Bombyx mori: one gene and its partners. The protein of the gene in region 3 binds, or shares a complex with, the protein of the main gene of each other region. Links are inferred from orthologs where the notes say so. Each region holds a gene or a part of one and is shown on either strand. Other genes may lie near its edges.

Region 1 (4,016 bases), on a different chromosome or scaffold from region 3:
ACATTTCCTTAGTAGCAGTATTCTAAGCTTATTGCCATACCGACAAGGGCTCCAAAGCATGAAATCGAGAAAGGAGTATTGAAGTCAAATCGAAATCTAACTCAATAATACACATAAATGTAGGATTGGTAAGAACGGAACGTATGAAAAGAGTGTGGAACGGAGCGTTAAGATGTGAGTGAGAGAAAACGGAAAGAAAGGGAGAAGAGAATGACAGATAGAATGACAGAGAATTTGAAGATGGCGAAGACGTTTGAAAAATGAGTAAGACATAATAAAATTAGTGTTAATTATTAATTACTATTATAATAGAAGATTTTGGAATAGTATAACTTTTATTTTATGCGCTGCGATCCCTTTTCTACATAAATTATACTAAGAACAAAATCTTACATCTAGTTCGGTTTGTGTTTCAGGCAGGCCGAGCAATGCTCCTTCAGTTTCTGTATTAGGGAGATCCTCCATTATACCACGCGATGTCCCAGTCGGGCGTTCTCTGTGAACCATTGATACATTAATTAAAAGACACTTCATAATTCAGAATCCATGAACAGAATAAATCATATCGTCTTCTCGCATTAAAACTGTATTATCTCAAAACTTACTAATTTTATAGGAGAGTGTTTTAAAGGTTTAACAGGTTATATTTTTAATATTAATCATCTTTGCAACATTATTTTTTATTTTGTACCAGTTACGTTATCTGTCTTTTAAAGTATGATAAAATTGTGTACATATTAATTTTGTTAATATTTAGTAATGACAATTTAAGTAAACCAACAAAAAAAGGAAACCAAAACTAAACTACGCTGTTTTAACAGTATTTATGAGAAAAATACTGGTGATACCAAATGATTTCGCATATTAACTCAATTTTGAATATTTTTGTAAATTGTACACTTTTAATGCATACAGACGATATATCCATTGCAGACATATTGGAACGGCTTATGGACTATAAGCTGTTCGGTTTCAAAATGGCTTATTCGTTTGCTCATCTAATTCTAATTTCCTCATATTTTGAGCCCACACAATACACCACTTTCTGCCTGTTCCTGTTACAAAAGTTTCATGCATTTCAGTTTTCAGGGGTGGGTCAAGTTATACAGCTCTATTAAGATTAACTGTAGAGTATTGATGAGGGTTCTCATACATATAATATACATATTATTATTCTCCTATGTATAGAAAGGTCAAATTAAATGTAGGTTTACAAAATATACACATGACTGAAATGTTACTCAACATGTCTGCTTAAGCTTATAAATAGTTAGTTAATTTTAATTTATGTTTCTAAAAAGTAATATTTTTTTTGTACTTGCCTTATAATATAATTCCTGGTTGAAGCTCCAAAATGAAAATTAGAATCGATCGGTAATTGTGTTGGTTTGTTTGATTCTAAGCGCATTTTTCCAATATAAGTGCCATGAGCTAAAAAGTTTGTTATGATTTATAGTTCTACAACAAATTATAAGGGAGTGTTGTGAAACACGTAGACAGGTGAACAAACTCAGGGCCATCTAGTTTTAAGTGATTAGCCTAGTACATAGACATAAAAATACTAATAGCACGTATCCTTTATGCATGGAGCAAATGTTTAAATTTTTACTACAAAAGAACACTCAATCTCATAAAACTAGAAGCCGTGACTGCATTCTTGTAAAAAAATATGACACCGACATGTATGGGATTGTAATAAGCCCTCCTACCACTCATGGTACTTAACTCATAGTAGTTTAAGAAGTAATGTCAAATGATTGATTACATCTTTTCTGATTCATTTTTTTTCTTTTTATTTATTAATCTTAGTGAATGAGAAATCAAAGGTTATAAAACTTGAAGCTTCTCACCAAAACATTTATATTGTCAGAGTAAATTTAATTCACTTTTAACTTAATATCCTACAATTTAACACCTAATTTCAGCCCAAGTGAGCAAACATGACATAAAATTATGGGCCTTCATTCAATTAGTTCAAGAAACATTTTTTTTTGCATAGATACCCATATTTGTGATACAAATTCTTATTCATAAAATTATTACGACCATACTCACTACTACCGAGGTCGACTAAAAATGATCTATTCAAATGTTTGTGGTAGACCAGAGCAGCGTGCACCCTAGAGCAGCTAGCATGATCAATGCAGAAGTCATTCATTTGAGGATTCCGTCCAAATAAATAACATTTTTTCTCGTCTATCATTAGTTTCTGAATTAATTTATCTCCTTTTAGAACGTCTAAGTGGAGTCCGGTTGGCGGCTTACCAGCCCTAAAAAGATAATCAATATTAATTATTGGTTTTTATCAATATTAATTTTTGTATTCCACTCAAAATATCATTTAGATAATATCCACTTTTCTAGTATCATATTTCAGTACCTTCCTAATCTTTGAGTAGCAGATGACTTTTAAAGTAAAATTAAAAACTGTATCTATATATTGATAGTACATGCAGTAGTGCTACATTAATTATAAGATAAAATGTTCTATTCATTTGTAACTGATACACTGCTAAACTGCCATATTATTGTTATCAATTATATAGGTTATTTTCTACAAAGACAAAACTAATGAATACATTTTTATTTGAATGCACATCAGGAATTCATTAAAATAAGTAACCCGGCGTCATTATTTTATGGTTATGTTGCTTTTATACATACCAATTGGGCACTTCATAGTGATTTGCCATTATAATTAAAATTTATAACATTATTAACCAGTTTTCAATTATTTACTAGATTAATGGTTGTGTGAAAAAATAAGGTAATGAATGCACCAGTAAAACACTTTTGGCTTGATTTGTGGACCTTTGACAGATGTCTGTAAGTAATAGTAGTTTTATTTTTCCAACTGAAAAGGCAAAGGTATCATACCATACATCCTAATCTTTTATATTTTTTTTTATATATGAAAATGATATCATGAAATGACATGAAGTTGATTAATATGAAACATGGCATGAAATGAAATGAAAACGAAATGGAATGAATGGGATGAGATGATATGGGATGAAACATAATCTCGATAAAATGGTGGTCATATAACGAGAAATATAATGAGGTGGCTATCATGAGCGCACGCTTACTAGAGTGCGCTATGGTAATGATTGCACACGGGTGCTACCTGAGCTAGAGACGCCTTTTTTTGAGGCAGCCATATTTCCTGTAAATCACTGTTTTTTTGGAAGTCAGCAAAATTAAATGTAGAATACTATTAGAATAGAATAGAATTAGAATATTTAAGAAATTATCACGTTATATCACTTTTACTTTTCTACGGAAATTCAAAAATGTTTTCTTCATCATCAGCCTGCGGCAGTCCACTGCTGGACATAGGCCTCCCCCAAAGCTCGCCACTGAACCCGATCTTCGGTTCTACGCATCCAGTTACTGCCAGAAATGTTTTCTATTAGTATTTAATCGAAATAATTCTGATTGACTCAGTTGTGCTAAGGGTCGTGGGTTCGCTTCCCACATCGCGCAAAAATATTGTGTAATGAACAGGTTTGTTCATTATCTAGCTATGTATAGATTTAAACATATTTAAGTATGTTTATCAGTTTCTGGTACCCATAACACAGGAAATTCTAAATTGGGACCAAACAACCGTGCGTGATCTGTTCCCAGTTATAATTTTTATTTAATCAACTTTGGTCCAAATGATATATTGTATGGGATATAGTCCCGTTGCCTATTCAATAGACGAATAGACATCTAAAGTCTATAGTAAGTGTATTATCTATGAAAACTTCGGCCTTAATGAAATTTTTATTTCAGGAAGAAATTATAAAGGACTTAGCTTTGGCCTTAATGACATTTTTATTTCAGGATATATTAATATATATCATATAAGACCTGACTTCGGCTTTTTTGAAAAATTATTTCAGAGAATATATAGAGCAGACAAGGCTGTATGGGCTTAGAACCCCTTGCCTTTCCTAACAACGAAAAAATGTACCAAAAAAAAAAATTCTATGAAAAAGAGTTCACCGAACAAAACAAATAAAAATTAT
Region 2 (4,269 bases), on a different chromosome or scaffold from region 3:
ACGTACTTGCGGCCTCGTAACTTGCGACAACAGCAACCGTCTCCATTCGGTGAAGATTACGGGTTGGCCGGCAACCCGCCGAGTACAAAGAGCAGCACGGCTGATCACGGCCCGATACTCTAACGAGCAATCTCGAAGCCACGCTGGCAAACCGGTACCTCCCTTTGGAGGGCGTTACTATGTAGTTGAAGTCGGGAACATAACAACTAGCGACAGGAAGATGCAAAAGTAGCACCGGCTCACTACTAACACAAGTAACACAGAGTACCACTGCACACGGTACGCCGGCAAACCATCGGTGCCATCGGGAGGCTCACTCTCTAAGTGGAGCACTCTTCATCAAATGAAGAGCATTGAGAGCACGGCCCTCCTACTCGACTTCGTGCTGGTTTTGGTCCGCATCGGTGCGATCATATCTCTGGGAATGATGACCAAAAGCTGCCATTATCCGCCTCTCACGGAGGCGCACGGTTGGAGACCAGCAACTCCCTTGGGTTTCATTACATCCTACGTATATTACTGTTGATTGGTCTTTAAAGTAGTTTATGGCGTACCTTGTATTGAGTGATATCAAAGCTAATAGAGATCAGAGTGAGAAAGCTATGAGATATACCTTGAGACATGAGGTAGAAATCTAAATTATGTTGTATAATGGTCATCTTACTCTTCAAACTGGAACGCATGACAGCTTGGCAGTGGATGAAATAACTACCTAATGTGAGCCCTCATAGGCACTATCTCAGTATTTAGGTCGCCAAGTAGTTCTACGTTCTGGTTTGTTAAATGAACGAATTGTTATATTCTACAATTAGCGGTAGGTGACCTCTCGTTGTAGATGTGTACTAGCTCTGGTAATCACTTTATTGAAGTTGGGCCTTGAGCTCGTTCAGACGTCTATGCAATAAATAAATGTAATTTTTCCTTTCATATAATGAATGTATCTAAGTAAATTTTTGTAATTTTACTGAGACTACAGTATATTTTAAAGCATCTTATTTAATTTAATTTCATCATAATTACAGTATAAAATAAATAAATTTCATCTCATTCTTCTCCAAATCATTATTCTCAAAGAGTAAAATTTATTTTAAGTATATTTTATCTAGAGATTTTTATTAACTCAACACTGGCAACAATGACATTGCAAGCAGTCATTCTTTAAAAAAGGGAAATAAGTTATCTATGGTAAAAAGATCAAACATAAATAATGAATATGGCAGATTCAGATTCTCAAGAAAATCGACAAGTCGAAGAAATTAAATTGAAATCTAAGAAGCCTAGAAATCTTCGTACGCGTATCAAAGATGAAGACTCTGATGATGAGGAGCACATTTTGCAAAGACTTCAAGAAACAAAAGAAATTCAGAAACTTCGAGAAAGACCTAATGGGGTGAGCATCATAGCCCTGGCAACCGGCGAGAAAGTAACGTTGGAAGATGAAATGACTTGTAAAGATCCTTTTAAAGTTAAAACTGGCGGGATGATTAACATGCAAGCCCTTAAGAACGGGAAACTGAAGCAGGTGGATGATGCGTATGATACCGGAATAGGCACACAATTTTCAGCGGAAACGAACAAACGCGACGAAGATGAGGAGATGATGAAGTACATCGAAGAACAACTTGCAAAAAGAAAAGGTTAGTTCTACTTGAAAATATTTAACGAGCTTCCAAACATAAAAATTTACATTTTGCTTAAACAGTGGACCCCCGGTAATCCTGCCGCTGTCTAATCTGGCACCCCTTGTAATCCGAAATGTCTATTATTATTGAATATTTTTTGACAGTCTTCGCTAATGTACTTAGATAATGCATGATTGAACAGGTTACAACTGGTATGCGCCATCACTATTGTACTAGACGCTTAGGTATTGTTTTGGTTTTGATAGGTTAGTTTGAATTCGACTACTGATAACAAATAGGCATGCGCCCATTTCAGGCTCCATCTTGACCATGAAAGCTTAAGTTTTTTAAAGTACTTAAATAAAATAAAAGATGCTTATGGCCAGCAAGGGGTGGCTAGAAAGTTTCAAAAGTCGTCATGGCATTCGTAAAGTATTTTTTGTAAGTTTTAAAGTATTACTGACGTTAATTTTATAATAAAACGTAAGGTTTCTCTTGTATTTTTTAATTTACTAAATTCAATATACATAATGAAGTATGATTTGCATTTCAGAATATAACATACAGAATCTTATTACTGGATCTGTAATTTATTGGATTATAAAGTACTCTTTTGTAAAAAAATCTGGACTAAAGGGGGTCTTAGGCAGTACTTGTATAATTCGACAAATGTAATAGGTAGTTTGACACTGCCTTACAAAACGTTTGTCGGATTACAGGGGGTCCACTGTAATTTAATGGTTTTTTATTTCAAGACTGAAATTTAAAATCAATCAATAAAATAGTATTTGCATTTTCCATATCACATCCTTGAGGTTCTGTCACATCATAATCAATTACTAATTTTATAGATCCATTACAAGATCATTAAATAAACAGTATCTACATGTTTTCCTAGAACTCATGTAAATTTGTTTTTTTTTTGTAGGTAGTGGTTGTGACCAGTGTCTAGATGGGATTATATGTATATTTTGATATTACTAATATTACTAACACCTAAGCATATATTACATTAAGCTGCATAAGCACTTATTTGCTAAACTATTCTCATGGTATTATGATAACAACACTCCCAAAAGTACCAATAACAACTATACCAAGTTTCATTGCATCTTGAATGGTTTATATAGGAAGAAGAAAAAAAAAAGAAGAAAAAAACAGACTTAATAAACTTGTTAATATTGCTGCTTAAATGAAAATCTAGTATCAATTATGTAAAATACCACTCACTAAGATTCTATATTTGGTCCGAATCTGTAAAAAATATTGTATTGTAAATACTGTAGTAAGTATATTATACACTCAATTGAATTGCACATACCCTACAGAGACACCCACATCCCAACTTAAACAACGTTTAGACATACATGCCTCTTAGAAATATCATGTATGCTTAAATGAAAATTATTGTTTTTACAGGTTGTATGATATTAAGATAGTATAAGTTAGTTGTTTTGTATCTTTGGGTGCAATATTTGGAGCAGGTTTTATGCATAAGTGTGAAGAGGGCTAACCTCTGTGATACTGTTTTTATTGACTGCAGATATTAATAATTTCTTTTGAAGTCGTCGTGGCCTAAAGGATAAGACGTCCGGTGCATTCGTGTGTAGCGATGCACCGGTGTTCGAATCCCGCAGGCGGGTACCAATTTTTCTAATGAAATACGTACTCAAGAAATGTTCACGATTGACTTCCACGGTGAAGGAATAACATCGTGTAATAAAAATCAAACCCGCAAAATTATAATTTGCGTAATCACTGGTGGTAGGACCTCTTGGGAGTCCGCACGGGTAGGTACCACCACCCCGCCTATTTCCGCCGTGAAGCAGTAATGCGTTTCGGTTCGAAGGGTGGGGTAGCCGTTGTAACTATACTGAGACCTTAGAACTTATATCTCATGGTGGGTGGCGCATTTACGTTGTAGATGTCTATGGGCTCCAGTAACCACTTAACACCAGGTGGGCTGTGAGCTCGTCCACCCATAAAAGCAATAAAAAAAAAAAAAAAAAAGCTTATTGATACTTTATATTTATATCACATCAAAATAATTAGTTGGAAGCATACCCATGAAAAAAAATGTGTGTTACATGCACATAACTTGGGTTACTCAGTAAATAAATGCACAAAGATATGTTGATTGGAAACTTGAAATGGTAAATAGATTGTATAGTTTGTTATTGGTGGTAGGACCTCTTGTGAGTCCGCGCAGGTAGGTACCACCACTCTGCCTATTTCTGCCGTGAAGCAGTAATGCGTTTCGGTTTGAAGGGTGAGGCAGCTGTTGTAACTATACTTGAGACCTTAGAACTTATATCTCAAGTTGGGTGGCGCATTTATGTTGTGGATGTCTATGGGCTCCAGTAACCACTTAACACCAGGTGGGCTGTGAGCATGTCCACCCATCGAAGCAATAAAAAATAAAAATTTAGGTCCCTACATAGCTGATAGTATTATTTATAATCGTTTAGATACTAATATAAAATTAACTTGTGCTTTGTAAATTCCAGAGGGATGTGACAAAGACAATAAAGACCACAACCATACAGAAACACTAAAGTATTTGTCTCCCGAGGAAGCAGCCTTACTTTCCTTGCCAGACCATTTGAGAGTCTCTTCAAATCAGAGGTCAGAAGAAATGCTTTCTAAT
Region 3 (3,423 bases):
AGGCTAACGCACGCTAATTACGCGTTCAGTTTGACGAAGCCTTTAGCCGAGTTCCGACGATACCGCGATCGTGCTGCCATCTCTCGGGAATCATGCTGTGTTTGCAGCTACCAAACTAATGACCGTCTCCGACATATTATACTTCACTAGCTGACCCGGTAGACTTCGTAATTCCTCAATCGATAAATAAAATCGGTCCAGCCGTTTTCGAGTTTTAGCGAGACTAACGAACAGCAATTATTTTTTATATATATAGATTAGTGGAACCTGGTCACGTTCGGCGAGCTGTCACTAAGTTTTCAGAGCCCCCGCGCGCCACCTGTTGTACGACGTGATTCTATAGCAAACAACATCCCTGAAGTGTCAACGGTAACTGGACAGTGTTACAACACAATCTAACATTACGTCACGAACAAATTGACACACAAAATATTTGTTTTGACGAATATGTGCTGTAGTGGCTACAAAATAAGGCACAATATTGTGCGAGTATTCAGTGGAGGAACCCCCTCGACCAGCTCCTAAAGACATGACGTAGTCCAATGTGAAGTTCCATTAAAGCGTGGAACAGAGAGATACACATATCCATCTTTCCTCAGTTATTACAATTTTCCCACACTGCATCCACTCTGAATTTCGATACGAAAAGTGAGATGATCATTTGCAATCTGGACCTAGAGTCCATCAGTAAGTATCTACAGTCGGCATCAATGCGCCACTTCGATAAAGCGGCACGACACGAGAATCCTCTCCGGAAACTACATAGCTGATCCTGCGGACCAAATGGTTAACAGTTGACGTCGCCCAAAACACGTCATTTCGGATCCTCCCGATCCACTAACGATGCTTTTAGGTACCTCAAGCACCGGTCACCGTCCTCGTCGAACACGTCGCTTGCGGCTATGGATCTGTAGATGTCTATGGGCTCCAGTAACCACTTAACACCAGGTGGGCTGTGAGCTCGTCCACCCATCTAAGCAATAAAAAAAATTAAAAAAAAACTCGACGAGTAAATTAACCCATAGACAGCCCACTGAGTTTCTCGCCGGATCTTCTCAGTGAGTCGCGTTTCCGATCCGGTAGTAGATTCTGCACGGCTCCTGCTAGGGTTCGTGTTAGCAACGTCGTCAGGTTTGAGCCCCGCGAGCTCACCTACTAGTTAAGGTTACGCTGAAATAGCCTCTCAAGGCTATCTGCTTCTTCTTCTTCTTTGTGGCTTCCTTATTACTGAGGGTCGTGACCACCTTGGTCCAGTTTTTACACCAACTCCAATAACTTTCTCCAATGATTTGGCCTAGGGGGGCTAAATCCCTTCTAAAAAGTTTTGGGACGGAAAGGAATGGGAAGATACCGTTACTATTTTTCCCAAGAAAACCACCATGAGAAAAGTCAAAAGGAAGTTTAGCTCAGCTAGGTACGAATGAAAAAAATGGCATTAACCCCCGGGCGGCTCGATACAGACCTGTAGTACTGCGCGGTGGCGTCCGGTCCGTCGAAGTACGGCATCCGCGGCCGCGCCCCCCCGCGCCCCCGCACGCCGCGCCCGCGCCCCCGCGCCCCGCCCGCGCGCCGCGCCCACTCCGCAGGGTACGCCGCGCGGGGGTAGTACATTGAACCTACGCACATTTATCACACATTAATAACAAGCGAATCAATTCCAAAAAATATATTAAATTCGGTCTGTTTGTTAATAGGCACTGTGATTCCTAATAATGCTATGTTTACAAAAAATAATAATTAGCTTATTTTATGTATGTGATCAGAATTACTGATCACCTCACATCCCAAGGTCACAATACATCCGGACTCGCGGTTTTGTTGAGTTAGTCACCACAGGAGACCTACAAAAGCATGAAATAAAGACTGGAAAATACATTTGTTCAATAATTCATTAACTAAGTCCGCTTTCTTTGGGAAGTTTTTTTTTTAAATATCTTTCTTAAAATATTTTACCATGAGTATTATTATATAAATTATGTGGTGCAGTTCCCAGATTATTTTTAATCATAATAATAGTTGTTATAAAAAGAAGTTAGATAACACAATAGAAAAGTATCGAGGTATAGCAAGTAATTGTCACATAAGGTTGAAGGATACCTTAATCTGACTCACGACAGTCTTCACTGGACTCCTTGGAATTTTTCCATACTCCTGAACTTTGCCAGAGGCCAGGTTATCGTTACCTTCAGGGATATAAGATTCAAGTTCCAAACAGTAACATTCAGTTGGTCTACGGAGCAGTTTCAGTCCATTCCAGTATAACATTTTGTTTCAATAGTCAATGTATTATTGTTTTTCTTGTGAGTCCGCACGGGTAGGTACTACCACCCAGCCTAATTATGCCGTGAAGCAGTAATGCGTTTCGGTTTGAAGGGTGAGGCAGCCGTTGTACTATTAAAATGTGAGACCTTACAACTCATGTCTCGATGTGGGTGGCGGCATTTACGTTGTAGATGTCTATGGGCTCCGGTAACCACTTAACATAGTATGGGCCGTCGTCCACCCATCTAAGCAATAAAAAATTTAATTAAAAAGTAAATCAGTCTCTTGCACCAACAGAACACACATCTCTTAACTAATTGACTGAGTGCAGTTGTTTGTTTACAAAGATTAGTGTGAAATAATGTTGTGATACTCATACTTTGCGGTCCATAGGCATATCCTGGCGGCATGAACGCCGGGTACCCGAAGCTGTAAGGGTTCGCCATCCCGTACATCGCAGGAACTGAAATCATATTCAAAAATTATTATTTAGCAATTAAAACAAACCGGACTTCAAGCTTCTCTGACAAGTTTTTTTTTATTGCCCTTGTAGGCAGACGAGCATACAGCCCACATGATGGTGATTTTTTACCGTCGCCCATGGACGTCAGCAATGCCAGGGGCAGAGCCAAGCTGCTGTCTACCGCTTAATACTCTCCACAAGCCTCGTTTGGAGAAGGACATGTCATAGCGCTCGGGAAACACCGTGGAGGGGAGTTCATTCCATAGCCGGATGGTACGTGGCAAAAAAGACCTCTGGAAACGCACTGTCGATGAACGCAGCGGTTCCAGATAATATGGATGAACTTTGCTCCGATGGCGGGAGGTGCGATGATAGAAAGGAGATGAGGGGATCATCTCAAACAATTCCTCAGAGCACTCTTTCATTTCGGTTTAAATACAACGTCTTAAAATTTTATACAATTTTATTGAAGTAGATGACCGTAAGATTCGTTGTGTTACACATACATAAATATATTTGGTTTTTAGTTACTGTCCACTACACAAAATTAATAGCTCTAGTCCAGTTTTTCCCAACATGGGGCCCAAGTCCCACAAGGCGGCAATTTGATAATTAAGGGGGCCAATTCCACTAACTTAATATAGAAAATCTGTATTAAAATTATTTTGAATTTGAATACATTGTTATGGACACGCTCA

What was found. Proteins that work in one complex are often made in the same cells at the same time.
Region 1: A-kinase anchor protein 17A (region 3) and nuclear inhibitor of protein phosphatase 1 share a complex: the UniProt entries of both Homo sapiens proteins name them as parts of the spliceosome. The link is inferred for Bombyx mori from reciprocal best matches to the Homo sapiens genes AKAP17A and PPP1R8.
Region 2: A-kinase anchor protein 17A (region 3) and uncharacterized protein LOC778507 share a complex: the UniProt entries of both Homo sapiens proteins name them as parts of the spliceosome. The link is inferred for Bombyx mori from reciprocal best matches to the Homo sapiens genes AKAP17A and C9orf78.

The regions. Positions count from the first base shown.
Region 1 is NC_085126.1:4,081,501-4,085,516, reverse strand, and holds the start of nuclear inhibitor of protein phosphatase 1, read right to left. Parts: upstream 2,829-4,016; 5' UTR 2,694-2,828; coding exon 2,665-2,693; intron 2,271-2,664; coding exon 2,056-2,270; intron 1,432-2,055; coding exon 1,323-1,431; intron 497-1,322; coding exon 394-496; intron 1-393. UniProt on the Homo sapiens protein: Inhibitor subunit of the major nuclear protein phosphatase-1 (PP-1). It has RNA-binding activity but does not cleave RNA and may target PP-1 to RNA-associated substrates. May also be involved in pre-mRNA splicing.
Region 2 is NC_085120.1:2,479,738-2,484,006, reverse strand, and holds the start of uncharacterized protein LOC778507, read left to right. Parts: upstream 1-1,441; coding exon 1,442-1,637; intron 1,638-4,129; coding exon 4,130-4,269. UniProt on the Homo sapiens protein: Plays a role in pre-mRNA splicing by promoting usage of the upstream 3'-splice site at alternative NAGNAG splice sites; these are sites featuring alternative acceptor motifs separated by only a few nucleotides. May also modulate exon inclusion events.
Region 3 is NC_085127.1:13,381,317-13,384,739, forward strand, and holds part of A-kinase anchor protein 17A, read right to left. Parts: intron 2,726-3,423; coding exon 2,642-2,725; intron 1,617-2,641; coding exon 1,463-1,616; intron 1-1,462. UniProt on the Homo sapiens protein: Splice factor regulating alternative splice site selection for certain mRNA precursors. Mediates regulation of pre-mRNA splicing in a PKA-dependent manner.